Drosophila melanogaster: one gene and its partners. Changing the gene in region 2 together with the main gene of any one other region gives a genetic interaction. Each region holds a gene or a part of one and is shown on either strand. Other genes may lie near its edges. The genes, in order: NiPp1, put and anchor.

Region 1 (9,208 bases), on a different chromosome or scaffold from region 2:
CCAAGCGCCCTGAACTGCAGCCCCTAAATCTAAAGAAGAGTTACGAACCCTCGCAGACACCTGAATCCGCACCCGTACCCGCATCTGTGATAAACGAATCGATTGGATCGTGCTTTAGTACGTCTGGCTCGTTGAACAACAGCCTTAAGCCGGTGGAGAAGATCGTGCTGAAGGAGAACACGCCCGGGCAGGATCTGCTGGAGTGGTGCAAAGAAGTTACCAAAGACTACCCCAATGTTAAGGTTACCAACCTGACGACCAGCTGGCGCAACGGCATGGCCTTCTGCGCTATTATTCATCATTTTGTGCCGGAGCTCATGTGAGTTGTCATGATTACGTTGAATTTCTTATTGAGCACTTTATTTACAATCAATTGATTTATTACAATTCCAATTCTAACTTTAAGTTATAATAACGGGACTGAATAAACTAATAAATGCATTTCAATTCATAGTGACATGTCTAAGCTGAGCGCCCATGACGTAGTTGGCAATTGTCGAATTGGCTTCGATGCGGCGGAATCATTAGGAATACCTCGTGTAATCGAGCCGCGCGACATGAATATGCTCACGGTACCGGACAAGTTGGCCGTGATGACCTATTTGCATCAGTTGCGGGCGCACTTTACCGGCAAGCAGCTAAAAATTGAGCAAATCGGTGAGCGAGTTCTTAAAAATGGTCATTATAATATAACATAACATAAATATGCTTTTTTTTTTTAGGTTCAACGGCAGACGAGTCGAGCTACGTTATTGGAGACTACAAGTCGGACAATTTGTCGCAGAATCGCATTAACTTTTCGCACCCCAAGTCGTTGTTGCTGCATCAAAACTCATTCGATGAGGAGATAAATGGTTCAAATAAATCGGAGCAACTTTCACCCACAAGCAAAAAGGATGTGAAGAATTTGATTCTGTACAACTCGAAGAATATTCTGGACAAGGTGCTGTCGCCCACCAAGGACAAGAACTCGATCAACGCATCGCAGCATGCAAATCAATCGCCGATGTTGAGCTGCCAGACAACACCGCCGCAGGATGAATCACTGGATAAAGGGTCACAACCGGGTGGCAAGGAGAACAGCTCCATAACCACCATTGATCCGCAGGCGGCCAGTGTGAGTAAAAAGCCAGCACCACAGTTGCCTCGTTGAGTTGAATTTATGCATTGAGTTGTTGCTTTGGCTTTGGCGATTTATTTATTTATCTACTTAGCACTTTATTTCCTAGACCTTTTCAGTTTTGTATATATTGTTGTTTTCTTTATTTCGCTTTATTTTTGATTTGATTTGTAGCGAATTTTAACGCGCCACAAGATGATGAGCGAAAAAGCCAAGCTGATGATGGAAAAGCGAAAGCTTAACAAAACCAGCGACGCGAACGACGTAAGTAGCTTCTTGCTTAAGCCGCAGTTCGCCGCACGAAGCGCAGCTTATCTCTAGCATGTCTTGTTAAGTTAAAATATCTGATTAGTTTTAAGAATTTAAATACATTGAAAAACATTTTTTGAACATTTTTATGTATTCATTGTTTAGAACATTACTTGTTTTGTTAAACTTGAAACTTGTGTACATGTGGCACTCATAAAGTGTCGCTCTTTAACAATTATCTACACAGATTTTGTTTCACTTTTTAGGAAAACCTCTCATAAGTTTTATAGTTCTATATTTTGTCATACAAAGGTGCTGCCTTGTATAAATCCTCACTTAGTTGTTTCAATGTGTTTGCCCCGGCAGGAGGAGAGGCAGCAGCGTCTGCTGGAACAGGCTCGTCGCCTTATCCTGGAGACTCGTGTGAAGAGCGGTGGTTCCATCGAGAGTCCCACCAGGCCCAAGCTGGAGCGCACCATCTCGCCGATCCACAACGGAGCCGAGGAATTCTATGCGGAGCACGCGAAAAAGCTGGAGCTTAAGGAGCCAGGCAGTCCTAGTCATAGGTTAAGTGATCCGAAGGTCCTACAGTCCTTCAACGCAATCGTGGAGCGCGTCTCACCAAAGCACGAGAAGAGGGTAAGCCTAAAACATACAATTAGTCTACTTTGTCTTTCATCTTGATTTAAATTAATAACTAATTTAAGTCATTTTCGCATCGTTTCCAGGGTGACAAGCTGTCCTACATCGATTCCGAGCTGGAGGCCCTGGAGCGGGAGCAGGAGGCTATCGACCAGAAGGCCAGCAATCTGGAGGCCAAGCTGCGCGCCGTAATGGGCGGCAATCCAAGTAATAATCGTCGGGGTGGCGCTAGAAACAGCAACCCCTTCCTTAGGCTAATCCGAAATAGTATTGGTGGTGGTGATGTGATACGTATTAAGCTGCTCGATTCGGATGACGAGAGCCTTTTTGGTGGAGGTGCCGGTAGTGGTGGCGGTCGGAGCGGGGCGTGTAGCGAGGACGACGATAGGGACACGTCCAGCGATAGTGTCTGCAACTCAGGCGACGAGTTGCACACGAGGCTACGCCCCCGGCCACGCTCCCATTCGTGCTTTGTGAACAAGAACCATCAATCGACCATCAACACGCCCGCTCATCTGCGCCCGCATCATGTACATCACGTTGTGCCCTATACCCACATGCTAGACAGCTCCCCGTCGGCGCTCTCCTCGCAGCAGTCTTCCTGTGATAATCTGCCTGCGTGCAGCGATGATGACGAGGTCCTGGCGGTGGCGGCCAACGGTCGTGCGGCCTCGTTGCGGCGGCAGCAGGATCGTCATAGGCGACGCCGTCAGAGGCGGGAGCGGCGCTCCCATTTATGTCACACTCCCAATCATTGTGGTAAAGTGCGGCCCATCCTATCATGCCTGTACCATTGAGCTGCCCTGCTAATTGCTAACTGCCAGAGCACTGCCACGCCTCACCGCCTGACTGCCGATCGCCCAGATCTTCCGCCTGCTCGCTCGCTCGCTCGCCTCTTTCAACCGCATCCACTCGCTCATTCTTTGTGCCGTTTGTTTGTTCCAATTAATGTCTGTGTTTGCTTGTTAACTTGGCGGGCAACCGTTCCAACTTGTGTCTAACTATGTTCGGACTTGGTTCTAACAGCTCCGATGATATAACGCTCACTAATCACAGAGTCCTCCCTCTGCAGCAGCTTTTGAAAAAGGCAAAGGACGCCTTCTTAGAATAAAGCAAAGCACGAAGCGCCTGTTCTGGTATTGCCTATTTCAAAAACTGTTTTAAAATACTTAAGCCACTTATGTATGGTTGCGACTTATGTAGAAAATCAATTTCAGTAGTATAATCAGAACAGGCAGGCTTTAAATAATCTTAGTGCTTCACAAAGAAAACCCCCATCATTGCCTTTTTATAATCAGACACTTAAACATTCCACAGAGACCGAGGAGACAGAGGAGCAACTGCTATCGCAATGGTTTACGCTGGTCAACAAGAAGAACGCACTCCTCCGGCGACAGATGCAGCTAAATATACTGTAAGTTATCACTTAGAACTACTATCGGCTTTGTTTCTTATTATTATCTACACCCTTCAGCGAGCAAGAAAAAGATTTGGAGCGAAAATATACAATGCTTAATCAAGAGCTGCGGGCGGCGCAATCTGTGGAAGATTGGCGCAAAACGGAAGTTCAGCGTGAAAAGGAGCGACTGCTGCTCGAGGAACTGATGACGATTGTCGACAAGCGCGACCAGTTGGTTCAGCACTTGCACAACCAAGAGATAGCGTAAGTGAAGCACTTTTCCCATCATTAAAATATACGAAGCTAACCCTCGGACTCGTTTAGGATCGAAGACGACCAGGAGATCGCGAGGAAACTGGAGCACGTGGACATCAGTGCTGAAAAAGACAAATGTGTTCTTCAATAGAAATCGAAATTAACCAAACCTGACTGGAGATTATACTTACACACACTCAATCTTATCTATGTAACTAGTTAGATAACAACTATGTTCAGAGACACGCGATAAGGTCGCGTGGTTTTTGTGGTTCGGTGTCGCTTCTTATGCAATCGTTATATCCAACGACAACAAATACTTGGACCACTTGGTATGGTTATTAAAAAAAAAAAGGTATACTGTGAAACAAAACAAATTGCTTTTGTATTTAAGCAAAACAATTCAAGAAATAAGAACAAAACGTCCGTTAGTGAACTAAGTAAAAAGACAGGCACACGTTTATACACCTATTTACGATAATCAGATCTTGGTATTACTTTAAATTAAATGGTGGTAACTTTGTTTCATGTTTCGTTGTTGTGCCATCTGAACCACTCCTAACTTATGTAAATCCTGAACGCAATAGCGATGTGAGATAGGGAATTGAGGAGGCAATTTTACGTTAGTTTTACTTTAGCATTTATCCCACATAACTAGAAACGCTTCATCCAAAAATACACGTACACTTATATATTTATGAATTACACTTATACAACAAACCTATCTTAACATACCTTATTTAGACCCGTACATTTGCTCTAAGTTAAGCAAAGCGCTTTAATCATAATTTAAAGGTGGCTTATATACTTATATAAAATACATTTTAATTTACTTTGCCCAGGCGAATGTTGTATAAAGAACTGTTCGACCCAAGGAACATTAATAGCTAATAAAAGAAACGAAAATGCTGTCATCAGCATCGAATAAACCCAAAACCATTCTAAGAAGTCTTATCCGTTGTTATCTGGGAAAGTTACTCCAATAACAAAACAAAAATGCGTCATATCGATTTATTTATTTTTTTGTATTAACAGGTTTCTCAATACAAATACTTAACAGAGTATCATTTTAATTGACTCAGTAACAAAAAAGATTAGTCACGTCGAGAGGTAATAGTTTTTTTTATTCGATCAACAGTTTAGTGTACAAAAATACATTTGTTTAATGCAATCAATCGTTAAATTAATATCGTCTTAATTGAGTGATAACATATGTATGTATATATACTCGGAAGCTGCATTATTTCCATGGATCACTTGAGAATTGCTTAAATGATTGCTAAATTAGCAGAGATTTCATCACATTGTACTTGATATTATTTTCGTTTCTCTTGTTCCTTCTGAAAGGAAGTCTTTTAATTACTCTACAACTCGTCTACGCATATAATCTAAAAGCATGCAAAGAGATTTAAAAGTTCACAACTAAGTGACGTCATGACGGCGCTACCATTGCTCTAGTTCAGCGATAAATAACTACAAAAGAAGCGAAATCAAAGTTGAGTATAGGACACAGCTACAAAAACAACAAATGCGAAGGATAGACTAACATTTGGCGTCGCCGGAGATGAGGCAGATCCGTGCGTCATTTCGTGGAGCTCCTCGTCGGTGTAGGTCTGGTTGGCAGCCTCGACCTTGTAGTTGAATGTCGCCGATACGGGCTTGTGGTCGGAGAGAGTGTAGTCCATGTGGGACTGATAAGACAGCTGGTTGGCACTCAGGGTAATGCCCGGATAAATGTTGCTCTGCACGCGATGCAAAATCCGATCGCACCAGGCGGGTCGCCGCTTCAAGTTGTAGTCATTAGTGCCTTCCACGAACTGCAAGGAAAATCAAATGAACTTTATATGGGTGCTAGAGATAAGGCGAATTAATTACATTCGACATATTGCCTCATAAATTAGTTGGATTTTGCTTTTCTCATGAAATCTGTGGAGCCGAATGAAGTGATTGATTGATGAAGTGATTGGCGGAAATTAAAAATTCAAGTGCAGATAAAATTAATTACACCCACCCCTATATACATTATTTAGATTAAGATTAGAAAGTTCAAGGCAAACTTTGACTGTAGAGATAATAAGATTGTATATTAGATTGTTACCTTAAAAGTGGGCGCAAAGTTGGGCTGCTGCTCCTCCAGCAAGCTGAAGGCGTTTCCCTTCTCCCGGAGCAGATTCAACTGGTCGAGCTTGAGCAGATCAGCGTATCGCTGGTTCTCCACATCCGTGCGGACATCCCAAGCGGACATATCGCCGGAGAGACGGAAGTTAAGATCGCCAAACCAAAAGACAAAGTCGTGATCGAATATCCGGCGATATCCCTGCGCATTGTACTTGTGATTGTCCACGATTTGGTGATAGTCTTCGATGCGCTCCTTCAGCTTCTCATCGTGCGCCGCCAGATGGGAGCAGACGAATGCGACGCCAGTTCCGTAGAGCGAAAGTCGAATGCTTACGGCACCCTTGTTGCCCCACAGCCCTCCAAGTCCCGTGCGCGTGGCTTCTGTCTCGATTTCTTTCATGTGCGGGATGTGCTTGTGCTGTGCGAACATGGTTATAAGAATTCCCTGCAGCTGCTTCGAGTCCACCTTTACGAACTGGTGATCGCTCAGAGAGTCCGCGATCTTCAGCACCCACGGATCGTCATTGAAGATTTTTAGCACCTGCGGTGTGGTGCTCACCTCCTGGAATCCGATTACATAGATATCGGGCAGCTGGTTATCCGGACAAGTGGTGGTGCCATTAAGGGACAAAAGGGAGCTCAGATCCTGATTTCGCGGCGTATGGGTGCCCACGTTCCAGGTCAAAAGGAAGATGCACAGATCCGCAATCGCCGTGGCCGTAACCATTTTTCCGCCGTCTAATTATCTATGATTAATACTTGTTGTTTTGGACGTCACAAGGTGGCTGTTGATGAGTTCATGGGCATCCAAAACAGGTTTACGGATTTGGCAGCATCAGCAAATAAAGCGAAAGGCGTTTTGCACACGCAACTTTCATTTATGTAACCGTTAATTCTTCAGCACTAATTTTTTAAGCCGCTTTAATTGGACTAGGAAGCGCTAGTTGCCCGTATTATTTATAGAATACTCAGATGTCGTTATTTATGTTTATTTGTCCGTCCGTTGCGTGAGCTTAGTGTGACCGCAGCACAACTATTTAAATATACCTTAGGCGGCGGCAAAAATTTTATGGTATCTCGATAGTAACGGAGCTCTGAAGCTCATCGAAAACATCGGCTAACATGAGCTTCTCATCTAATTTAGATTTTTATTTGAAACACATTAGATATTATAAAAGCCAAAAATCAATTTAAGAAATATAAAGATATAAGATTAAAAGTTGTACTGTGCGTAAGTTCCTTTAAAATAATAATACTCTTATTTCATTGTTTTTTTTTTTACGCGAGAATGCCCCTTTGCATTTGCTTGTGCTAAACCGATATTATCGGCAACTAGTCAATTGTGTGTACACACTGGCTAAGGATTTTTCATAAAAATAAACACTTTGTATAAACTTACCTTCCGAACTATTTTACTTAAGTTAAAAGTATGGCTAACAGCTACGACATACCCAGTTGGTGCGTTGTCAAATTCAGCCGCTGCCTTGCCACAAAATCACGTAGCATTTTATTTATTTTAGGGCTGGAAAACCGCCCACTGGCTTACATCTGGATGTGCTAAAGGACGACAAACTAGTACAAAAACTGATGGTGGATGAAAAAAGATGCTATCTATTTGGTCGCAACAGTCAAATGAACGACTTCTGCATAGACCATGCCTCTTGTTCGCGGGTCCACTCGGCGTTTGTCTACCACAAGCACCTCAACATAGCCTACCTCGTGGATCTGGGGTCCAGTAGGTACTAAGATATCTGGGATTCGGAGTAAGCTTATCCATTTACTTTTGACAGCTCATGGCACCTTTATTGGAACACTCAGATTGGAAGCGCACAAGCCCACACAGCTGCAGATTAATAGCACCTTCCACTTTGGGGCTTCTACCCGGAACTACATACTCAGGGAACGACCCTCTGGCCACCACAGCAACATCATGGAAGACCTGCCGCTCAGTGAAACCAGCGATGGAGCTCTCCTGGGCCTACCCGAAAGCCAAACGGAGCTTGATGTGCGTTTGGTTGAAAAGAAAAGCTAAATACTATGTAAACTAACCTTCCATTATCCTGCAGAATCTCACAGAATACAACACAGCCCACAATCGGCGCATCTCAATGCTGGGCATCGATGATGATACCAATATGCGAAAGCAAAACGCCTTGAAACAGGGACGGCGCACTCGAAATGTCACATTTAACGATGAGGAGATTGTCATCAATCCTGAGGATGTGGATCCTAATGTGGGACGCTTCAGGAACTTGGTACAAACCACTGTGGTGCCCGCCAAGAGGGCTCGCTGCGACGTCAATCATATGGGCATCCATTCGGGCAACAGCAGTTTGTCCAGTGCCAATGCCGCACATGTACACCAAATGTTCCAGCAGAGCCTAGTTGACATGAAGCAGCAGCATAGGGAAATGCCTCCGCCCAATGCGGTGCTCCACTCGCCTACTAATTCCCTATATCAAGGTCTACCGGCCGAAATGCATGGCAAGGGTGACCTAGAGCCCATCTCCCCGCTGAGCATTGGTTCCAAGTTGGGCCTATTGCTCCCGAATCCTGCGCCTGAAGTGCTGCCAGTCTATGACGAAGCTGTGGAGACCTCGACATTGGCTCAAAAGTTGGCCGTCGCTAATGCAAACGGTAATAGTTCTCGCGACTATTTGTTTAAAAACTTACTGATTGTTTATAACACCATTTTAGTTCGTCGCTTTGGTGAGGATCCGCATGACTCGAGTGGCGAAGGCGATTCGCTGTGCCCACAGAAAAAGAAATACGCCAAGGAAGCATGGCCAGGTCGCAAGCCCATGTTGGGGCAGCTGTAATTGCGTATTAACAAAATAATTAAGATTCCACCTACGATTTTCTCAAGCATATGATTGACAACACACTCTGGAGTAATATTTGTTTATTAGACTTTTAACGTAAAACAAAACATTTAATATCTTTATCTGATCACATCTTGCAGCTGTGTGGATACCTGGGGAAGGGTATCACATCACGAATGTTTTTAACGCCCGTGACAAGCTGCAAGTAACGCTCAAAGCCCATTCCAAATCCTCCAGTTGGAACTCCTCCATACTTTCGCAAGTCAACGTACCATTCCAGATCCTTCGGCAGATGCGGATGGGATTTTAATATAGCAGGATCGCTTTCACGCAGGCTCCCGCCGCATAATTCTCCAACAGCTGGCATCAGTAGGTCTAGGGCATGAACTCGATTGGGATTTGAACGCGAGACTTTCATGTAAAAAGGTTTCTGCTGAGCTGGCCAATCCACAACGAATACGGGAGCACCACAATGGGCCACTAAAAAAAGTTCTTGGTCCTTGGAGAATCCTTCGTTCAGGCTAATAGGAGTCTTAAGACTGTCCTTGTTTTCCTGCAGTACTTGCAGGGCTTCATCGTAGCTCATTATCTTCCACGGTACTT
Region 2 (12,928 bases):
GTTTTAGTTTCAACTTCCGCCCGAGTGAATTTTTAAGGGTTTATACATATTTAAAGGTGGCAGCAATTCCAGCTTATCAATTAAATGGATGGTCAGTGGAAGTGTTTAAGATGAAAGATAATAGGGATTTGGAAAGGAGTAAAAAGCTTTTGAAGTATTAAAAACAACATTTTGAGCCTTCTATAGCATGTCAAAGTTGTATTTACAAAACCATAAGCTTATATAAGCTTATGTTTGCCCAACTGTTTCGTTTGCCTACAAAAAATCCATTAGATTTCACTCATTATCCTTATCCCAGCGTGGCACAGTTACCCTTTGTTGCTCGACACCAAAAACGACGAGGATCCTTGAGGGGAACTTATGCAAATGCAAATTGCTGTGCTGCCAGCGGAGATTGCGGATTTAAGTTAAAGTCCTTTCGGAAGGATTACGGCACCGAGCGCACTTGGCCAGCTTATTGATTGCTAATAAATTGCTTTCGAGCGCATTCAACTTTCAGCAGAGTCAACTTTTTTGTCCTACCCACTATGTGGGCCAGTAGATCGAGATGGAAGGGGGTGTAGATACATATATAAGCCTTTGTTGTTGAGATGTTATGAGAATTTCAAAAGGATTTGTTGGCATTCCCTTAAACGTGTATTGTGCAATGCAGCGTATTATATTGTGCGTTTCTCGATTCTCCTGCAGTTCCTGTCCGCCGTGATGCTAAAGGACTACAAAAAGGCATTGAAATATTGCAAATTGAGTGAGTAGAATACAAAATCAGCTTCCAAAGTATGTCACCATGCTTCCGAGAGTTGCAATTACAACTTTTTTTTGTTCGAATATGACAGAGAAATCGCTTTTTTTGGGACTTTAATGTAATAATTTCTTTAATTTATAATTTATATTTTTATACGCACCGATGCAGTCCTGCAATACGAGCCCGACAACGCCACGGCCAAAGAGTTCTATCCCCTCATCCTGGACAAGTTGCGGGCAGGTAGGTGGGCAGATGAACAGTGTGGTCAGTCAATTAATACTTATCTCGTTGCCCCAGTGGCCACATCCAGCGACAGCGATGAGAACTACAATAAATCTTCATCGCCCGACTTGGCTCTGGATCTGCATGCATCGGATGTGGAGGCTGACGTGGACGGGGATGAGGCAGGAGATGCTGACGAGGATGGGGATGCTGATGCGGATGGCGATGGCAGCGAGAGCAGCAACAATTGTTCCGAGGAGGAGGATAATGGATGGGGCGATGATGAGATTGACAACGTGGATGTGATGGATGGCGAGGAGGAGAGCAGCAGCAGTGGCGATGACTTCGATTTGCCCATCGACGATGCAGGTCAGGATCCAGCTGCTCTAGCAGTTCACGTACACCATTCCCATACCCACTCGCACTCCCATTCCCACAACGATTCTGGATCCTCGAGGAATTCATCGAGCGGCGGTGGTGGACGCAGCGACAACACCACACATTCCTACTCCAGTTTGCTCCTGGAGGAGGAGGACGATATCGTGCCCGTAAGCCTTAACTTTGGCCTAAAGGAGAACACCGCAGCTGACCTGGACGTGAGCAATGGTATATGTGTGATTAATCAGTATTTCCGTACATTGACCTCTTTAATTCCTTCATTTCAGGCAACAAAGTACCCTCCGCCTCCTGCAGCGACTCAGAATCCCCGACAGAACCGCTCACCCAACGCCTGGCGGCCATCCTGCGCTCTAAGTGCGGCGTATCCGGTGGTGGGTCAGATGAGACCTACTAAAACCATATATGTGTATACTCGTATATACTCAATCCCAAAACTGTGCAGAAATTCTTTTGGTGTGGATAGTGCTGACGATTTGCTTACAGAATGATGTTTGATTTCTTGCCCGCTGCACAGGGGCATCTATATATTCTTGTATAACTATTTATATAAACACACTCCACCCTTTGCCCGGCTAGTTTTTCCACTAGTGCGATCGCTTTACGAACCTAGAAACCGTCCCTAACTGCATACTCTCGTATCTCGTATCTTGTATCTTCACTTGCAAAGTTTTCTCCCTAGGACAAACATATCGTACAAACTCAATAAGTACTTATATATACATTAATACCTATTTATACTATTATATATTGTACATGTTAAGCCTAGAACCCAATAAAGATATACTCGATACAGTAAGCTGAGAATGGCTAAGGATTAGGTGATTATACACACACACGGAATGCGAAACCGAATCAATATAGATTTACATAGATTTACAAGTATATATTTTAGTAAGACACCCATTCAGAACGCACAGGACTTGGAATGCTTTACATTTTTGCATTTGATAGAGATCGATTTTTTCCCCAGGATATAGAAGAATGAGAGTTACGAAGCCAAGGATAAGTCTGATATGTCTATAAAACAGACGGAGGATGGAACGAACGATCGTAGAACTACAACTGAAATGGTCCAATGTCACAAACTACGTAGAAGATTGTAAATATATATATTTTGTATCAATTAAGCCTGTACTAGAGTCTATATATTCGTTCGATTTCGTTGTATAAGTTAATCAGGGACATAACTCTAAAAACTCCCCCAGTAATAAACCGTATATTTAATATTATTCATATAAATATTTGTATCTGATATGTGTAGCTCTTGGCTAAGTTTTCCTATCTGTATTGTTGAATTATATAATCCAGAAGGTCTGAATGTTTACGGAAGACAATTGTAATAAAAGTGGCAAGAAAGCTGGAATAGAGTCGATTTTTATTAAGGAAAAACCGGTGATGAATTGTTTATTAAACAGTTGCATTTTTATTTTAAATCCGTTATTATCAAAGATCGTTTTTTAATCGTAAACTTCTTAACACGACTTGCTATCATCTCGTATATGTTTTTCGCATATTGGTTTTTATAAAACTTTGCTGATGATATTCGAAAATGGGGTGTTTTAAAAAGATTTTCTTATGAATTTACTGTTTATAAACTCGTTTTGGTTTTACTTATGAAATGCATTAAAAAATATACCAAAATTGCTGTTGGCTTGTTATTGCCTTGTATAATGCTATAAAAATTTCTCTGCAAATCTTTTTGAAATGATCGATTTATATTATCTTCCTCTATCCCATTTAGCAATCTGATATGTAACAAACTACTATGATTAAATATTAATTGTTTATTCCTTCGCTCTTTAAATACTGGTTGTTTTTGAATTCGTTTCTTATTATCTTCATTATCATTATGTTCGTCGTAATGATGTTTCAGCACCAATGGAAAATATACAAATTAAATACAGCATAACAAAATTCGTTCTATTATTAAGATTATGTCGTTTGGTTTTTGTTTGTTTGCGTAATAAACTATTTTTGTTGTAAGTTGCTCAAAAAAATCAGGTAATGAAGCTTTGTTTGTTTCGTTTTGTTCTGTGTTGTGTATCGTGTTTAGTTGATATCTTAACTGATAATCCAGAAGTATTTCAGATGCTTAGCCATTGATAAGAACTGATGCTGCGCAAAAAAGTTTCAAATAACCCGAAAGATAATACATTCCGCCAAGACTCTCTTAATTAAACTATAGCTTAAATAACTATAGCTCGACATACACCTTGTTTGGCTAACATTATAAGACATACTATCCGTTTAACAATGTTTAACATACTTACTCATTGTGTTTAGCTCTAATTTCTTACAGTGTGTGCATACCTCTTGGGTTGAATATTAACTTTGATTTTTTTTTTGTTTAGATTTTATGCTGACGATGAGTCGCAGCGTGTGCTTCATATAAACCTGCTAGACTGCGTGTGTTCCGTATGCCTATGCGTGTATGTGTTGTGTGTATATATAAAGAGTATAGTTTATATTTTATAATTTATGTATATGCGCTTAAGTTAGATTCTTGTTAAAAAGAAACTTTCCTTTGAAAACTTCAGGTGTTGCTTGTACTGTCCAGTAGAATTAGAATACAATTACATAATTACACATTTATTATGCTTACGCGATTTCTGAGGGTCATTGGCACTACGTTTTGGAAATAAAAAAATAAAAATCAAAAGCAGAAATATAAAACAGACAAAATAATAAAAAATCAGATGGTTAGGATGGAGTTTAAAGTATTTTTATTTAAAATACAACATTAAAACGCATGCACGTTTGAGCGCGAAATAAAAACGTTACAACTAAAAAGTAAACTAAAATTGTTAAATCTATTTTGAAAATAACTTTAAATATAAAACTACTACTATATGAAGACATTCGATAACGTACAAATAAAATTATACTTTAAAAGGCTTGACGATAATTTTCAACAGTTTACATATGCACACAGGCTACTGCCAGAGGGCAAAACAAATTGTACGTTATATGTATGATTTATATAGAACTATATATGGTTATCAGTCAATGAAGTCAATGTCGGATTAGCAACTACCACGTCTCTGGACATAGCTAATGCTCTTTGTTCAAAGTTGCTTAGTGTACGTTTCCACTCATTTCCAACAGATTTAAGAACTCGGGTTAACATCGAATGAGTCGATTTATAATTTAAAGAAAATAATAACAAAGAATCGTTGGCATGTTAAGCTTTTGGCTTTTCCCTTAGGAAAAGTTACATCTTACACGACTTCTTTCGTATAAATCAACCCATTCTATAGCTGCTTATAATGGTACTACAAACTATTAAACTAAAAACGAAACGTCTTACGACCTCGACGATCAACTATCCACTACGAAGCAAAAAGCTTCAACTGATTTTTTTGCAGAGCCACAGATCCGCTGGCTGGTCTGTGGCTTAGTACCGCTTCTATAAGCAATTCGTAGATTCCTTGGCGTCGTCAATGTTGGTGTGGTTCTTGATTAGCAACTGGGTTGAGGGATACTTGTTTAGCTGCGCAAAGCGTTCCATCACACACGAAGAGCTAAGACGAGCCTCAGCGTCGTGATCCCAGCACTCCTCCATTGTGTCGCAGAATACATTAAGTCCCTGTAAAAAAGTTACAAGTTATTTTCATTGACTAAAAGCATTATCAGAAGTCACACTCACCGGATGGGCGCGCCAGGAGTTGAGCAAACGAGGGCGCAGCTTCTTCATTACCACACTCTCCTGAACTTCGTCCAGCGACGGCCTCAGGCCCAGCTCGGCCTCAAAAGGCAGCTGGAACTCACCGACGGGTCCGGCAAAGTCACACCGTGACACCATTTCCCAGAGGACTAGGCCGCATGCGTAGACGTCTATGCGTAAGAAAGCGTCTCTATTGAAATTGATGGCACCCTCAAGCACCTCTGGGGCCATGTAACGTCGAGTGCCTACTTGACCGTGTGTATCGCCGCAGGGCTTGCCTGGCTGGAATATCATGGCCAAACCAAAGTCAGCTATACAGGCCGTCAGATCGCTCTTAAGCAGTACGTTCTTAGACTTGAAGTCTCGGTGAGCTATCGATGGTTTTAGCCCATCGGTCTTTGATGCCGGGATCTCCTCGTGCAGATGTGCCAGTCCATTGGCCATGGACTCAGCGATGCGGCACAACTCTGGCCATGAGATCGTGTGCGATTTGAGGTAGTCGCATAGTGATCCGTTATGCTGGTAGGTGGATATCAGCCAATATTCCGGCTTGTCCATGTGCTTCTCAACGCCCAGGAATTCGAGGATGTTCGGATGGCGCATGCGCGGCAGCTTGTAGATATCGTGCTCCGTGGTCCACGATTCTTTTTCCTGCATGCGAAAGATCTTGACGGCCACATCCTGATTGTTGAGCTTGGCTTGCCACACATCACCGAATCTACCACTGGCCTTCTGTTCCAGCAGCTGAATGGGACGGTTGCTGAGCAATGGCGATGAGTTTGTTATCTCAGCCTCGTGCTAAAGGGTTTAATTTTGCATAATTAAAATTATATATTTGCGGCAACATCACAAGGATATGTACGTACCGTGGGTATCTCGTTAAAGTGCGCCTGCTTGCGGCGTCGGTAGAGAAGAAGGCCCATGCCAACAATGACCATGAGCACGCTGAAAACGGAGGTGCCAATGTAGATGTATATCAAATTGCTGCCGTCCTGCGTCTTCTCCTTGGGCACTGCAACGATACAAGGACACACACGGGAACGAACATTAAAGAGGGCTTTAAACGCTGCCTTGCCACAGGTGAACAACATCTCGAGTGGCGGCATGCACCTGCAGCTGCTGGGGTTGCTATGAAAGGCAAAACGAAAACTAAAAAACGAAAGTTCGCCCCCAATTTCGCATCTCTTTTTCCCCTCATTTTGTTTCGAGATAAAAGCGAGCTAGGCCCAAGAACAAAACAACAAAGAGCAGGGCACAAAAGACGCCCTGGCAGCACAGGGCTTCGAAGTCAAAGGCAGCAGCAACACCCCAAAAATAAAAACAAGAAAGGATGCTAGAATGAAGTCACTCGACACTTGTATACCTGGTATTAGATAACAGATACTCTCCTCGTTGTGGGTTAAGGCTGCAAGCCAATTAAGTATCATTCAAAATAGGTAGAGTCTAATCCTATTAAGCCTTCATAATCGGAGTGAAATAAATTGGATTTATACCAAATAACTACCTCTTTCAGTTGCATCCTTTAAAGCGAACGCATTATACCCGATCGCTAAAGAAGTACCTTACTATAAAAATAAAAACGAACCAGCGAACGTGCACAGGAGGGCAGAAATTGCAACACATGCGGCTCCGAAAAGGGGTTGCTGGAGGCTGGGGATGTAGAAAATGATGGGGGAGCGGGCGCCACTTCGCGTCAAGAGTTCGTTAACACGAAAAACGCTGCCTCGGATGCGAGGAGTGGTATTTTGTAGGCGAAGCCTACGCCCTCTTTTTGCAACTTGAAGATGCAGTAAAAATACAAAAAAAAAAAAAAAAAACGAAATAACAAAAACAAACAAAAAATATATGCAAACGGAAAAATAACAAAATTGGGGTAAACACTCCAAAGACAAAACCCCAGTAGCAGCAAACGTTAAACCGAATCTGAATCCGAAACCGGATCCGAACCCACCTTGTGTGGTTGCCTCCGTGGTGCTTTTAATATATTTCTGGTTGGAATTGCACCGCGATCCCTTGCAGCAGCAGAAGTGAATGTTTCCCTGCCGTGGCTCTGCACTGGTCACGCACTCCGTCTGATTGCATTCGTGCATGTCCGTGAAGCAGCCCTTCATCTTGATGCGCAGGATGCCTATGGGAACGGAAAAATTAAAATTAATCAGTATGCCTGAAACAACGTCAACTTCTGCACGGCTCACCCGTTGTCTCGTTGACCGACCAAAGGACATAGCAGCTGGGAAACTTATCCGCCTCCATCTTACAGTGCTCTATCCGTGTTTCACATTGCTGCGTTGTGTTGCACATCTTCTCGTCGAAGTGCTCGCATTCTATGATCCCATGACTTCCGGGCAAAATAGATCCATGGATTCCAATCAGACAGCAGACTAAATGAAGACAATGGGAAAATAGATTAATAATCTTTCTAGTTTTAGATTAGCACTGATCTATATTTAAAGTATATATTTGAGCAGTCCTAAAACATGAGTAAAGACTTTCAAAAAGTTAAAACGTAGTTAAAGATCAAAGTTAATGGAATTATCGGTTGGAAGTGCTCAAAGGGTGGGCAAATAAAGTCGAGCCTATTTGGGGAATAAGACTGAAAGGGAGGGCGCTCAGCGAGCTCTTTGTGGGCGCTATCCTTTGTACACATATCGCATGCCCAGAAGTAGCAGGAGTAGCGTCCTAAGCTGGGGCCTCTGCCATTGAAAGCCACCCCATTTGGGCACGGAATTAGCCCCACTGGCCACACACCAGCCTTTGAGTGGGCATGGCCCCAATGCACGGATATGCAGTGCACAGTGGGCCTGCAGTAAGGTTTCTTGAAAATCTATTTACATTCTTTAATTCGATTTAATCTGGGATCCTCATCCAAATACCGAAATTTTTGTTGATAAAAATTAAAATGATAATTCACTTTTTAAATGTGTAAATACAAAAAATTTAATTTTGAAAACGTTTATTGCAACGAGCCTGCGATATATTGATTGATATTTCTTGACCATTGGCTAAGCAAACTGTTTTCAATCCTTTGAAACACTTTTCGTCCCACTGTCCTTTAGGTAATCGGATCGCTGGCCATGTATGTGTGTGTTCGTAAGCGTGCATGCTTTATAGTAAAGTAGATACATAAGCAGGCACATTATGCACACAGAAAGGGATGGGTTTAAAGTGGCGCTTGTGCGGAAAAAGGAAACAGCAGCAGCAGAAACAACAACAACAACAGCAGCAACAGGGAAGAGAGCGCACTGCGCCACAGAAAGAGAGAGGGCTATGGCGAGCGAAAGAGAGGGAGGCCGGTGGAGCAAAAGGGTGGGAGAAACCAGAACCTGCCATACAACAAGTTCCTAATGCAGCAAAATCCATTCAAAGAAATGCTCAGCGCACACACACATGGATTAAGATTGGGAATTAGGTATCCGATCGATTTATACCGAGTATGCGTTTGGCGCTCAACATATGAATTCGTAGTACCCACTGTCAACAATTCTTACGATATTTTACTACATTTGTGTAGTACAATTGTTGGTGCTTTAATAGAGTATCTAGTGTATACATTATTCACTTCACAAATAGATTTGATTCCTAGCATTTACATTCGTTATACCTAATTTCTGAAAATTTAAGATGTTCTGATGTGTTGGTTAATAGGACAAAGCTATCACAAAGCCTATACACCCTATATATGAACTTTTCAAGCGCCATGTGATATTAATAAAGTAATAGCATTACGCACCCCATATCATCAAAAATCACACGCACGAATGGTTATAAATCGAAGTCGGCTTGCATTACAGAGGAAAATCGTAAGGCAGAGACAAAATATAATATTATGTACATATGTACATAATAAAGCGACTGGGAATTAAGGCGCCAATAAGTATGCACCCACACACTCGCAGTGCAATACATACCCAGCGTTAGCTGCGCCGTTAGATAAAGCAGATCGTATTTGGACATTGTTATCGCCTGTGCAAACTTGTTTACAGCACTCGTTGCGTATACGTAACGCGAATATTTCGATGTTTCGGGGACAGGTGCAGTGGAATGGAATAACTGGGTACTGTTAATATTATTTTGGCACAGAGTTCCTGTTGTCTTCGCACTTTTCGAGTACAGCACTAAGTGTGTATGTGTGGGTGGCCGAGTGTGTGTGCGGTGCCTTGGCAGCGATTTTGCTGGCCACACGCCGTTTGCATGCGCATTTCCGCGGGTTTTACTCGACTTTTCGCCGCGACTTAATTTTAAGCTAGAGGGGCACAGTTGAAAAAGTATATGCGCGCTGCACTTTTTCGTTTTTCGCAGGTCTGCGGGCCTGTTTTCAAGCGATTTTAGTGCGAGCACGTCTTTCGGTTCGATTAAATCTTTTTTGTCGCAACGGGGCGGCGATAGCGATGGCCGATAGGCGATAACTGACCAGGGCTGGTAGTGAGACAATAGAAATACTAGATACGCGCATTTTGCGAAAGGTATTTTGAGGTGTGCGAGATCTGGTCACGCTCACAAGCAATTTTCTGGAGATTTCTTGAAGTGAGTTTTGTTGCTGAGAAATTTAAGTAAATAATAGAAGAATCGGTCAACAAAGTTTTTTTGTGCATAAACATAAAAAAAATAATTGGAGACCATTATTTTGTATGAAAACAGACTTATTAACAACAGTTTTCACCTGTCAAATGAACGTTTACCTTTCACCAAACATGGCGTCGCTTTACAGTTTATTGCGTCTTCTCTTCTTTTCAGCCAACTTTACGAAGCAACTGAGAAATGACTGGTCGTGGAAAGGGAGGCAAAGGATTGGGAAAGGGGGGCGCCAAGCGTCATCGTAAGGTGCTTCGTGATAACATCCAGGGTATCACCAAGCCTGCTATTCGCCGTTTGGCTCGTCGCGGCGGTGTTAAGCGTATCTCTGGCTTGATTTACGAGGAAACTCGCGGTGTGCTAAAGGTACGTTCTGGCGAAACGAAGGGAAAGTGGTGAAAAACTGATTAATTTCTCGGAAAATTCACAGGTATTCCTTGAGAACGTTATCCGTGACGCTGTCACCTACACCGAGCACGCCAAGCGCAAGACCGTGACCGCCATGGACGTGGTCTATGCCCTCAAGCGCCAGGGACGCACCCTTTACGGATTTGGCGGTTAAGCACGCCCTCTAACCTCCACATAATAAATAACCATGGAGTTAACTTAACTACATTCAAAATACTTGATCCAATTGAATCTTAATCAGTAGTATTCAACGCAAACTTAACCGAACGCAAATATTTTATAATTTCACAATATACGGACTAAATAAATCAAAAGATATCACATAGAGAACTCAATATCATGCATATGTGCATTTTGACTTGGGGCGGTTAATCATCCGAAAATAAGGTCCAACAAACTCGCTTAGGGAGCACACAAATAATAAATCTTTAATGGAAATTAGTAAGACCAAAGTATATTTTTGTACATTTTTGGTGCAGCTTGAATTCGCAGATGGCAGGACGTGCAAAAAGGAGCAGGTTCCCTTTTCTACTGCTACTGCCCGGGAGTATGACTGCAAATTTAGCTCTCCCAGTGGGGATCCTATCGAATCGAGTTGGCTGCTTTGTTGTGGGTGTGATGGTGGTGGTAGTGGTGTTGTTGTTGTTACTGCTCGGCGTATCAGCCAGCTGTGGTGTCGCTGCTCCGGCTGCGAATGGCTGCGGGGATTTTGAATGGAGGAACCTAAAGTCACGACCCCTAGGCGCTCTGCTCCCGCTGCTTCTGGAGCTGCAGGGACATGTAGACATTGGCCGGGGATATGACATTTTGGTCGCCGAAATCGCCAGAGCCTCCACCACCGCCGGCATCTCCGTCGCCGGCCTCTTCTGTGAGTGACATGGACTCCGATTGCTTGCGCCGCACAAAGACATGCATGGAGGAGTATTTCGAGCTACTAAGTAACGTGGAGTCCGTCGCCTCCGTCTCGTAGTCTGAGTTCTCCAGCGTAACGTCCGTTGAGGAGAGTTCTTCGGAGCGGGACATATACGACGACTCCATGTGCATGTCGCCGACTGGTACCTGAAGATCGTCCTCAGGCCGAGGTTTAAGGCGCTTTTTCCCCGTTTTACCAGCATTCGCTTGTCGTTCCAGATTGCTAACGAACTGCGCCACATGTCCATCGCTGGCGCCTGGGACACGTTTTTGCACCAAAGCCTCGACCAGTTGAGATTGCCTCTGCCTCCTGTGGGATCCGTCACCCACGCCCACCACATAGCCGTGCTCGTAGCCCCGCTTGACTGGCTGCTGCTGCTGCTCATGCTCATAGTTGTAGACATAGGCCGTATCGCCCCCGCCGCCCTCGTATCGGTGGCCAGGATTGACCATCACATTGTCGCCAATGTCCGTCTCGAATTGAACAGAGGGATTAAGCTTGAACTGTGGGGATAAGATGGGTTATCGTACAGGAGAATAAATTGCTAGTACTGGTTAATTTATATTGTGGATACTACTCACATCTCTCTCGTTGGCAAACTCATGGTCCGACTTGGACTCGCGATTCTTTTTGGCTGCCTCCTTGGGATTGTTTTCCACATACTTAATCTCACTGCGAACCTTGCGCACCTGGAGATGTTTGCGTTGGACCTGCATTTGCTGTTCGTAATGCTGTTGCTCCTCGTTCTGCGGCTCCGACTCGGATTGACTTTCCTCCGCCTGCTGTTCCTCCTCCTCCTCCTCCTCCTCTTCCTCCACGTCCAAGTCCACCTTTTTCTGCACGTCGCGCAGATTTCGGATTTGCTGCTCCAAGGAAAGATGCTTGACCTCCATTGGTGGGGGTTGTTGACGTTGCAGCTGCTGCTCCTTGCGCAATGTGACAATCTCGCTGCGGGGTGTGACTTCGGGACTGGTGGCCGCACTGTTGACCAGCCGGTTGAAGTGCGACTGGCGGTAGCTTTGGGAACTGTGAAGAAATACTCAAATCAGATAGGCATTGAATTGAGAATTGAGAGCTAGCCCACTTTTTGATGACTTCTGGCATAACATCATTCCGCGCCACATATTCCCTCGAAATGTTCGTTTGTGATCCTCCCTCCATGGCCTTCTCTTGAACCATGTGATTGGAGTCGGGTCTCATGAGCTGGTGGCTAAGCTTCTCATTCAGCTTCTCGGCCTTCTTGCGCAACGTTCGCTCGAAGGAGAGCTGCTCCTCCAATGCTTTGGTGTGGGACAGCAGTTGAGAGACGGTGACCTTCTTGTTCTTGGGCAGGCTCTGTAGCCCGTTGACGCAACTGAGATCATACTCTGGCTCCTGTTTCTCCTCTGGTAAACAGCCAAGACGATCATGGATACTTCGCTGCAGGAACTTACTGATTCCTTCGTTGTTTCGCACATTGAACTCCGTAATGGCCGTGTTCAGCTCCAGGCAATCGAGAATTAGATTTGCCCCGATATCCGTCAGGCCGCAGCCCTCCATGTCGATTTCTGTGGGGTATTTGAACTGTATGGATCGCACTATTCGGACTCTACGTACTTTTTATCCAAGCATCCTCTTTCAACACCTCGGTTATCCACCGGATGCCCACGTCGCCAATCTCCGGGTTGTCAGCCAACAAAACCGTGCGCAGACCGCCAATCGTGTTCACATCGACGCTACGGTAGCGGAGGGACTTCTCCCATCCCTCCGTGAAACGGGTGATCTTTTGCATCTGATTACATAAAAAACATAAACGCAGTTATAGGAAGACCATTAAGAAGGGTAATAAAAATATGCAATGGAATTTCATCATATACTACTGAAAACGCCAGGATATATTTCTAGAAAGAAAGAAAAAGATCTACAGGGATTAAGAGATTACCTTGAGCATGTCGGCCACGTGCTCGGCTCCCTTGGAAGTAAGTCCGCATTCAGAGAGGTCGAACACTTCGATGCGATTCAGGTATTT
Region 3 (10,209 bases), on a different chromosome or scaffold from region 2:
AACTTTATTTTTGTAGCTACTAAATTGGGATTATCTTTGATTTAGTGAAGAATCCAAATTAATTTTGAGCCAGCGCTCTACTCGAAACTTTCTTATCAGCAGAGGGCTATCGCGTTTGTTTGGCAAATCCCATTTGGATTTTGTTTTCAAATATTTTTGTTCCTTGTTTTGGTTTTATTTTTGGCAAATGGGAATGGGGGAATGGCAATGTTTGGTGAGGTTGGTCAGTGATTCTGTTGCTCAGCGGCAAATGGAATAAATTTTAGGAAGTACGTATTTTCAGGGCCCTCAGGTCAGGCAGTATTATTTATTGCCCCCTTCGAAGGCCGATCGCCTAACTTTGACTTGCAAATCTGAATAGGTTTTTTATCTCAGCTTGTGGTTAACCAAATTGAGTAGAAAAACGAAACGGATTGACATGTAGCATTTACAAAAAACGTAATAAAATAGCAAAATATAATTTATTTGCTGTGGCTGGCGCTTTTATTGATCGCTTCTTCACTTTGTATCGAATTCTGTTAATTGGCTAAAACCCAAACTCAAGTCTTAACTGGGCCAGCGCTTTGGGCTGTGAAATTCTAGAAGGGCGGGGATTATCCAAAATCAAACATGCAAAAAGTTTTCTTGCCAAATTGAAATTCAGCGAATTTGGTTTTTTTTTCCTCAATTCTGGGATTAGTCATGCCCGCATTAAAAATAAATAAAAGGGTAGTGGGAAAATGTGCATGACCAAATATTTATTTCAATTATTGCACTGTAATGTAATGCATTACAATTTTTAGATTCATATCTTAATTGCTTAAAAATGGAAAAAAACGATACAATTAAATATGTATTCTTATTGAAAAAGTTTGCAAGTCATTTCAAATTAATAATGCATAATGACATTCCTACAAGTTTGATATGTGTGGAGCTCTTATCAATGCAAAGTGTGTTAGAAAATTTAACACCACCTAAACTATATTACCAATTGAAAATATTATATTTTATATAATGCAATCTCGTAAACAAAGCAAGCGTTTCGCACATTTTCTTTGAAAACATGTCAAATACTCGATATGTTAACAAAGAAAAGCTTTTATTAGTACTAATTCTATAATATAATTCTAGTACACAAAATGATCCTGCAGATTTTAGCAACTATTATTAAAGGATATTTTCGCTGGAGGCGCAGGCATTTTTCCCACCCACTTTTCACCCCGATCTTCTTCCTCCTAAAATTTTCAACACTTTCACGAACTTTCAAGTATGTAGCTATACATGCGTCTATGTGCAATGTATGTATGTGCACCGATGACGAAATAAATAGAGAGCTTTTTTTTGCGCCATTCGCTTCCTGCATTCGAGGCAACTCCGCTGCCGCGGCGAATGCAACGCTGCGTATGAGCGATCTGCTGGTCGAAAGGAAAACAAGGTTCTGGAATTAGTCACTTACCATCTCAAGCAAAAGTAATCCAATTGGCGATATATCCATAATGTTCCGGCAACGGCAGAAAAAAATCATATACCCTATTGCCTCGAAGTTTCTATCAGTTACTTTGCGATTTATCACTTAATTTCTAAAATTCTTGTGTAAATATGTATAAACTTTCAGGCACTTTTCTTTATGGGGGCGGGGGCGTGGTCAGGGGAGGGCGGGAAAAGCCGACCAAAGGCTGTCAGATGCCACCAGATATTTGGATTAATTAATTGACATTTTAATCATCACGCTAAGGCCACTTGAACAGCGAGATTTCTTCGCGCGATTTTTGCTGCTTCAGAACTCTTTGTAACGCATTTTATTTGTTTGATATTTTGGGATTGCACTTTTGATCGGTAGCAAAGCGTTTAATTAGCGACGCGACGGCGGCGACGACGACGGTGGGCGGGAAAAGTGGGCGGGCGGGCGAGCGGGCGTTCTGTCGGTTGGCGCGAACGCTGCAGTTACAGTTACGTTTGAACAATTGATTTTTGTTGCTGCTAATTTGTTTTGTTGTTTGGTTTTTGTTATGCGTGTTTGAAAAGCGAAGGTTTTCCTCTTCGCATTCGAATCGCTCGAATCAGAGTTGGGGCAAAATTTGCGACTGTCCGTTACAGCAGTCAAAAGACAACTAAACGGCGAACAAGCGTATTTTTGCACACAGGCACTGCGCTGCACTGAGACCCGCTCACGCACACCAGCGCACCTCCACCTCGCGACGACAACGGCAGAGAAACGCTCAAGTTCACGCTCTGAACTTCAAAGCTCGTTAGCGTAGAGAGCGCAAGCGAGGCTAAGAGAGCGGAATGCAATTGCAATTGCAGGGAGAGCCAAAGAGAGTAGGGAGCTACAGTGCATCCTCTGTACGTCGAAATTGTGGGAAATAGTTTTTGTTTTTGCGTACTTTATTTCCAACAACACCTTATTTAATTTCAAGGCCAAAAAATATATTAACATTGCTTTGCGTTCGATTAACGCTAAATCCATTTCAATTACAATGCGGCGGAAACTCATTCAGCAAGTATTCTGCTTTCTCAAAAAAGTAAGCAGTACATTATACTCACTTTTATACTCAAAAACTTACTTAAATTGAAAATATCGTAATTCAATGGCAAGCTTCTTCTTACCTGTTCTGCAAGCTCACCAAATTTTGTTTGAAATGAGTTTTTGACTTAAGTGTTTATCACGTATACGTACAGCTGTACATCCGATCAAAAAAGGGTCAAACTATTTAATTTACAATTTAAACTATATTAATTGATTTAACCGCTGGATAAAAACTAAAGAACGAATGTTTCATTGTTAAAATTTTTAAGCACAAACCTAATAAATAATAAATAATAATAATTTCTTTCCCTGAATTAAGTGAAAGTTTGAAGTTGAAATATATTAATGTTTTTTCACTATATATATTAACTTTCATAAATTAACCAATATAATGCGTCATTAGTGTGGCGTGATAACTAAACGGCTATTTATTGAAAAAACAAATGGTTACAAAAGTGAGACTTGAGAGGGAATCTTTGATGGCTCCATTACACATAAAATATACAAAGCGTGCCCAAGGTTCAACAAAGGATAAAGAATGGAAACATGAGAGCTGGCAGCTTGGCAGCTTGCCTATGTGGTCTTCAGCGATGTCGGAATCTTGGGCAAGCCGAACTCATCCGTTTCAATGGTGCTCTGTAAGAAATTAGCTCGTTAGTAAGCAATCAAGCTGCTATCCATATAAGCAGCATTATACCTTTCCAGGGACGATGCTGTCAGCTCCCGGCTCTCGACTCGGCGCCTCCGGAGCCTTGACCACGTCATCCAAATAGCTGGTGTCATCGTCCAAGGCAATCTCATCGCCCAGAGCATCCAACTCGGCCTGCAGGTCGTCGTCATCCACCTCAGGCATGCCGTACGTGCGGCCCAGTGCCTCCTGCACCTCGTCCGCCTGCTCAAACATATCAGCCATGTCGTCTTGGATGTCCTTTAGGCAAAAGGATAAAAATTAATTTATGTTCATATTTCTGGGACATTTCCATCTCTTTCCAGCTAACTATGCTTACCTCGATCTGGTCGATGTTGATCTTCTTGTACTCGGTCTTCATCTGCTTGACTCCATCCTTCATGGCCGCCACGGTGGCCTGAGTATCCTTCAAGGATTGCGCCGCATAGTTGGCCTGTTCCATGTTGAACGACTGGTTGCGCAGAGATTCTGCCTGCTGTTCGTAGCTGTGTAGGAAACAAATAAAGTTCAAAATGGTTTAAAATACTCATTTAGAACAGGACACAATAAAAAAATTGATTGTGGATGTAAATTTCATAAGGTAATGGAACTTATAGATTAGGAAATGATAATTTCAAATGTCTGGAGAAGAGTAACACTGGAGGTTTGGAATATAATCGATACTAGGCAGTGGGTGGGGCATTGAACGTACGCCTTCTTTTGTTTGAGAACCCGGAGGGCCTTCTGTTTCACGGAGTTCTTGGCAGGACCTTCTCGCATCTTGGACATTTGTTCGCGGTATTTGCGCAGCTCTGCCTCCAGATTACTGATCTTCTCTTCGATGTTTGTTGCTCGGGCATCGACCTGTTGAGTGTAATAAATTGTTATTTGCTTTGTTTTCTCCATGATTTCGACACTTACCCCGGCGATGCAATCGTTTAGACTTGGACCCGGCTCCTTGGGCTTACCACGACCAAAAAGGCGATTCATATTGACTGCTTTATTATTTTAACTACAACACGCAAAATTTATGGGAAATTTGTGGGTTTTCCACTTTAATTCGTTCTACAAATTTTGTTTGATGACTAATTGTCTTCTTCTTTTTCCTATACCAATCAGCTGTTTGGACCGTACAGTGTTGGTGGGCAGCACTGTTTGGCAGGTCTGTCAACCAACGACTTATTGTTCTTAAATGAAACTGTTTTTATTGTAATTTGGAAAGATAACTCATTCGAACTGGTTTGTTTAACTGGTTCGATATTTAGCTTATATGTCGTTCAATTTTAGGAAAAACTGTGTAAATAACAGATATTTTAACGGTCTCTTTGTAGCACTGCCTTAGTATTTTTGTTTGGTATTTTCATAACATATAAATGGTGTATTTTAGTACATTTTGGTTGCCCCGCTGGTATTACTTAACGACCGCGCTGCGGTCCCACCATTCGCATTGCAAATTAAAAACAAAACGCATCGGCGGGCGCTTTTGAGCTCTTAACTACGTTAATTTGCGCAAATTAATAAATTCGTTTAATTGCCAAAAGCAAGTGCTGCGGACTCAAAAATCAGCAATGCGTCGTTCGAACAGATGAAAGTGAAATCAGCCTGCCGGGCATTGCGATTTTCGACCATTTTCGACTATTGAAGGAAAATAGAGTGCTAATAATACACAACAACAACCATCAAATTGGCAAACAAAACTGCGTAGATAAGCGATTAAATAATAGAGCAACATATTTGCCAGCAACATAAAGTAAAGGTCGGCGAAAATCCAATAAATCCGCAGCTGGCCCTTTGACGTCACGGCCCATCAGCTGCTTGGCCCACCGGAGCACCCCACTTTTTCCGCTATGACGCGCAGAGTCGCCCACTAACAGTGAACTCCCACGCTTAGCAGCCACTCCACAGTAGTCCCCAATGGACAGCTCCATGTACTACGCCAGCCAGCGGATTGCTGCCAGCACAGAGGCTAATGTCAGAGTCATCACCTCGACCATGGCCTCATCTTTGGCCAATGGAACGGCGACGCCACGCGCCGACGACGGGGGCGTATCCATGAACAACTTTTACCCGGCGTTGGTTCAGTGTTTCGGCATCATCATTTGCGGGTTAGTAGATATATTGGGGAACTTCGCACCTAGATAGTGGTCCCACGCATCCTTCCCGATAAGATTACCCGTATATTCCACCCCAAACACAAAAACACCAGGTTGCTCGCACCCCTAAAGCTCATTTGCAAGCCTTTGTTTGATTTAGGTACAGCTAAACAGCCCTAATTCGGTTTTATTTACTTTATTGGGCAGAACATTGTGTACACTTTTTATTAGCAAGCTCACTAGGGGACAGCACAGTAGTCATAAACCAATAATAAACCAATTTAAATTATTCTCAAAGGGAAATTATAGCTACCACTGAAGCAAAGTAATCATTCTTTGCTAAAATATCAAAAATAGATAGTTTTAAGGAAAGAAACAAACATTCTTAGGAATCTTAAATAATCTTGAAATACCACTCTTTAAATGTAAAAAACTACCAATAAAACGTTTCAGTTTGCTTAGATATTCTTAAAAGATAGATAGTTTGAGTAATTGAAGTTACAATATAGCTTGCCACATCCCACGTAGGATCCTAACTCGAACGTATGTATTTCACCCCTTATCGCAACGATTATGGGGAACGTGCGGTCACTTGTACAGTGACCAGCACTTATGACGGACACCGTCTCGATTCAGTTTCAATTTCTCTGATTTGTTTTCACCCACTTATCAATTGACACTCGAATTTTATTATCTGTGGCAAACTGCTGTCTCACTGTCTGTGCGTACTCCGATTCAATCGTTTGTTTCTTCAAACAAACTCAGCAATTATCCGAAATCAGCTAAATTAACTTTTGTTATTTTTAGAAACGGAATTACCCAAAAGAGATTTATTCGGGTTTAATTAGGCTTTTCCGCAGCAGCAACTAGCCTAATATTCCCCATAAAATTAATTTCGATCTATTATAAAAAGAGTTGCCTAATGGCCAATGCCTATTTGTTGATTAGATTTTGTCTCTATTTCTTTAATTTATGCTGCAGTTCTTTTAATTGCTGATGCATTGCGAAAGAATGTTATGCTAAATTTGTTGGCGTTTGCAAAGGTTATTTGAATTACAAAATTTCCGATTAGTCATTGCAAGTCGGTCGTTAACTGATATTGTTTGATCATTCACGTGAAAATCCAAACCTTTGAAACATTATGTTCCGGCTATTTAATAGGGAATATCTCTGCTGGCGTATGCTGGAATTTTTCCCAATGTTTAACCACCGATTTAGCAGTTATAATTAGAGGCGGTTTCATAAATCTGAACTAATTCCCGCCGGTCGTGGCACTTTTCCTGGGAAATTGCCGTGAAGCACCTATTAACTTTGACATACAAAAAATTGCTCAATAACAATGGGGAGCGGCATATGTAAATTGTAAATTTGCGCTGCTAGCTCCCATATCAATCATTATACATGCATCTAAGCCGAAACTTAATTGCCAGTGGGCAATAATCGAAAGTAAAACGTTTAGAGAGTGCGAGAAAAAACGTACAAAATCGGTATAAACAATTACAGCAATGACCTTGCAATACAGCGTAAACAGTATCGAGCCACTCCACCTGAGGCAATATTTGCACCTTTTTTGTACGGATTATGCAACCGCAATTACCGATTTGTCTACCGACCACTGCCAATTACTGGCGATATGCATGCCCACCCAAAGATCCACCGCCAGGCAGATGCACCTCATCCAACTGTTCAAGCAAACAGCTACTGATATCGCCTATACAAACTCGACTACAAAGTCGGATGCGATTATATGTTATTTAACTGCTCTCCCTTCGCGTTCGTTGGCATCTGACTTTAGAATTTCGTTCTGCACTTGCAAAGCCAACTGAGGTAATACCCTGCCTTTAGTCCTTATCATTATTCGGCCTTTAAAATGTAAATGTAATTGAGAAAAATAGATTGCTTTAGCTCTTAGACTTATCTATAACTGATTTGATTTTTGATTTTTGTAATAACTCAATTTCGTATGGTAAATATTTCTCTTCAACTTATTAGCTTTTAATACCTCACTATTTTCTTTGAAGTACAAATTCCAAGTATTAGCAAACGTAAATCATATCCCTATGTCAATCAAATGTCTCCCCAAATGCAAATATTTATCACCCTTTTGACACGCTGTTATGAAAGGGTAGCGAAGAGATGCACATCGCTTCCAGTTTTAAGTGCTGCTCGTAATGCAATTAAAGTTTGTTTACGATTGTTATCGCATTGAAATTATATTTAATCATTTATTTGATGAATCTTTGTTGTGTGTGTTTTCGCTGTGAGAATTTGATTGACTCGCTGTGATCATTTTTCTTTATGATTTAGGCTGGAAATAACCTGATAAGCGCTACCAATAATACAGGGGCTATAAACACCTCGACTCGTTATGGTTTTAACTGTAGCAATAGTTTGATAATAGCATAGACATTCGCAGGTGTTTCTTCATCGGATTCTGGGCGAGAGTTGCCCAACAGGTCGGTTCGCAGTATTAATAATATAATGAACTTGCACTTTGTTTGGGCACGTAAGATGAATATTTGCGTGCCGATCCTCACAGTTTGCCAATTAAGCTTTACTTCTTTTTTAGAGGTATATATGTATGTACATTAATGAGTTTTACCCGGTTGACTAATTTGGATTTCGTTTCTCTCGACTGAGTTTCTAGAACACTTGTTTTGCTCAACAGATAAATGAGCGAGATAAATAAGGAAAAAGTTTTTGACGTTTTCTGTTTAGTCTAGCTTTTTGTTTATGTACAAATTCTGTGGACAGACCTTACTCACAGACAACAATTGTTAAAACTTGTATTTCAGACCCAAGGGAATGTTAAAGTGGAGACCCATATATAAGGCTTTCATTCATTACTATTTTTATCAAGTATTTTCCTGATTTCCATCTTATAAATATAAAAGGAATTTCTTAAGAAAAGGGCATGAAGAATTTCTCTATATTTGCTTAATAAAGAGACTGTAATTTCATCTTCCGCCCTTGTGGCTCTCGCATAGGCACACTTCTTTATCAGTCATGTCTTGTAACCTCTTCCACGCTAAATAAAACATAGATAATGTCTACAAGGGTTTCGCATTCCTAGGAAAAAGCATTCTCACAGAAACCTATGACACATGGCGCTTCGCAAACGCAGAAGCTGAGTTCTGCCAATATTAACAATAGCAGTCTCGCAAATCTTAAGGAGATAAGAGCTTCCCCAGGTTATTCCCACAACATGCAGTGAATGCAATAAATCGCGTTGAGTCATAAGAAAAGGTCGCTAAACTAGTTCGTTTAAGGCAGGGGGAAGTACTCCCTACTCCAGATTAACAGACAAATTAATTTGTCTCGTCGAATGTGACAGAAATACAGATTTTCGCTCGAAAATAAAAAACGTTTACAAATCTTTGTTAGCCAAGAGACAGTCCGAAATAAAACTGGTTTACGAGTGGATCACGTGTGGGGCTGCGGTGAATGTATTTTATATGCATGTAGAGTACACTGTACATATTGATTAAGAGTTTCCGCCTTTCCGGCTGGCTGGGTTATTAGCATTAAAAATATACGCCTTTTGGTGAGGGGGGCGTGGCCCGACACGCCTTTACAACATGATTAGTGGTGTAATGTGTTCCCCTTTTACTCGCTCCTTGTTGCAGTTACATTGCCGGACGCTTCAAGATCATCAGCAATGCGGAAACCAAGGGTCTGGGCACGTTTGTGGGCACCTTCGCCCTGCCCTCGCTGATCTTCCTGTCCCTGGTCGAGCTCAACTGGAGCGCTGTCAACTGGAGCTTCCTTCTGGCCATGCTCGTCTCCAAGGCGGTGGTCTTCTTCGCCGTGCTGATCATCTCGCTGCTGGTCGCCAGGCCCCTGAACTACGCTCGCGGCGGCCTGATGGCAATATTCTGCACCCAGAGCAATGACTTCGCTATCGGCTATCCCATAGGTGAGTTCATGTTACAAGAACCTGGATATTGCATCTAGAAATATATGCAACTTTATATAAATTCAATTTCACCTAACATTCTATTTTTCCTTCAGTTATGGCTCTTTATAAGGATGTCCATCCGGAATATGCCTCGTATCTGTACCTGATGGCTCCTATCTCACTGGCTATTCTAAATCCAGTTGGTCTGGTCCTCATGGAGATCTCCAAGATAATCAAGAACAAGGAGGATGTGGTTGGTGTTTATCTAAATCCCTCTCTCTGCAAATATACCACAAGTTCTTATTCTTTGCAGACCCGCAATCCACCATTGTGTCCAGAAACTTGTCCCGCGGAACAGATGTCCAAACGGAATCGCTGCCTGGGTGAACGGTCTATACTGGTTTTCAACACCCTAATTGCACTGTTCTTTAACCCGTTGCTGCTGATGACCTTGCTGGGTGTTGCAGGAGGATTCCTGTTTCCCAACGGTCTGCCCGAAATGGTGTCCAGTACGTTGCGTGTTCTTGGCCAGAGCTTTTCGGCAACGGCCTTGTTCCTACTCGGTCTTAAGATCGTAGGTGGGACAGGATCCGAACGAAAGAGTATAGGCTTTCTATTGCCTGGTGTTCTTATACTGGTTAAAATGTAAGTTTCCTTCTAACTATATATTCATTCAATAGATCAACACGTGTACTCTCATTTCACAGATTGGTGCTACCGCTCGTAATCCGACAGACGGTAAACATTATGCAGTCTGGCCAGAACTTCAACGACACCACCGAGCTGAGCACTTTTGGCTTTCTCTACGGCACCTTTCCAGCTGCCCCCGGGGCTTTCGTCATTGCGACACAGTACAACATGGAGGTTGAATTGGTAATTGAATTGAAAGTCAATTCAAATCCACTTCCCATTATTTATGTATTCTCTTCGTTCAGGTTGCTCGAAGCATGGTTTTCTGTACATTCATCTCGGCACCGCTGATGTTTATATCAGCCAAAATGATATCGCTGACGAACCTGAAGCCATTGGACTATCTCCATGAGCT

Evidence for each region.
Region 1: of put (region 2) and NiPp1, changing one enhances a phenotype caused by changing the other (phenotypic enhancement), as found in Drosophila melanogaster (one study listed by BioGRID).
Region 3: of put (region 2) and anchor, changing one suppresses a phenotype caused by changing the other (phenotypic suppression), as found in Drosophila melanogaster (one study listed by BioGRID).

Annotation. Positions count from the first base shown.
Region 1 is NT_033778.4:17,003,063-17,012,270, reverse strand, and holds NiPp1 (nuclear inhibitor of protein phosphatase 1), read left to right. Parts: upstream 1-7,121; 5' UTR 7,122-7,212; coding exon 7,213-7,241; intron 7,242-7,303; coding exon 7,304-7,518; intron 7,519-7,573; coding exon 7,574-7,788; intron 7,789-7,849; coding exon 7,850-8,420; intron 8,421-8,480; coding exon 8,481-8,602; 3' UTR 8,603-8,708; downstream 8,709-9,208. Other genes in the region: Ehbp1 (Eps15 homology domain containing protein-binding protein 1), read left to right, coding at 1-319, 455-657, 723-1,117, 1,736-2,008, 2,098-2,770, 3,329-3,425, 3,486-3,674, 3,735-3,816; CG6805 (uncharacterized protein), read right to left, coding at 5,156-5,482, 5,764-6,510; AsnRS-m (Asparaginyl-tRNA synthetase, mitochondrial), read right to left, coding at 8,733-9,208.
Region 2 is NT_033777.3:14,616,265-14,629,192, forward strand, and holds put (punt), read right to left. Parts: upstream 9,440-12,928; 5' UTR 8,982-9,439; coding exon 8,936-8,981; intron 7,409-8,935; coding exon 7,223-7,408; intron 7,156-7,222; coding exon 6,979-7,155; intron 6,040-6,978; coding exon 5,894-6,039; intron 5,826-5,893; coding exon 5,010-5,825; intron 4,950-5,009; coding exon 4,770-4,949; coding exon of another isoform or gene 4,758-4,769; 3' UTR 2,766-4,757; downstream 1-2,765. Other genes in the region: CG14853 (uncharacterized protein), read left to right, coding at 688-745, 911-982, 1,040-1,570, 1,630-1,757; His4r (histone H4 replacement), read left to right, coding at 9,786-9,965, 10,030-10,161; CG7886 (uncharacterized protein), read right to left, coding at 10,746-11,423, 11,502-11,946, 12,005-12,467, 12,517-12,691, 12,842-12,928.
Region 3 is NT_037436.4:17,617,216-17,627,424, forward strand, and holds the start of anchor (anchor), read left to right. Parts: upstream 1-4,608; 5' UTR 4,609-5,087; coding exon 5,088-5,278; intron 5,279-8,892; coding exon 8,893-9,182; intron 9,183-9,277; coding exon 9,278-9,417; intron 9,418-9,477; coding exon 9,478-9,809; intron 9,810-9,871; coding exon 9,872-10,037; intron 10,038-10,099; coding exon 10,100-10,209. Other genes in the region: Vps60 (vacuolar protein sorting 60), read right to left, coding at 3,080-3,142, 3,204-3,434, 3,514-3,679, 3,886-4,037, 4,095-4,163.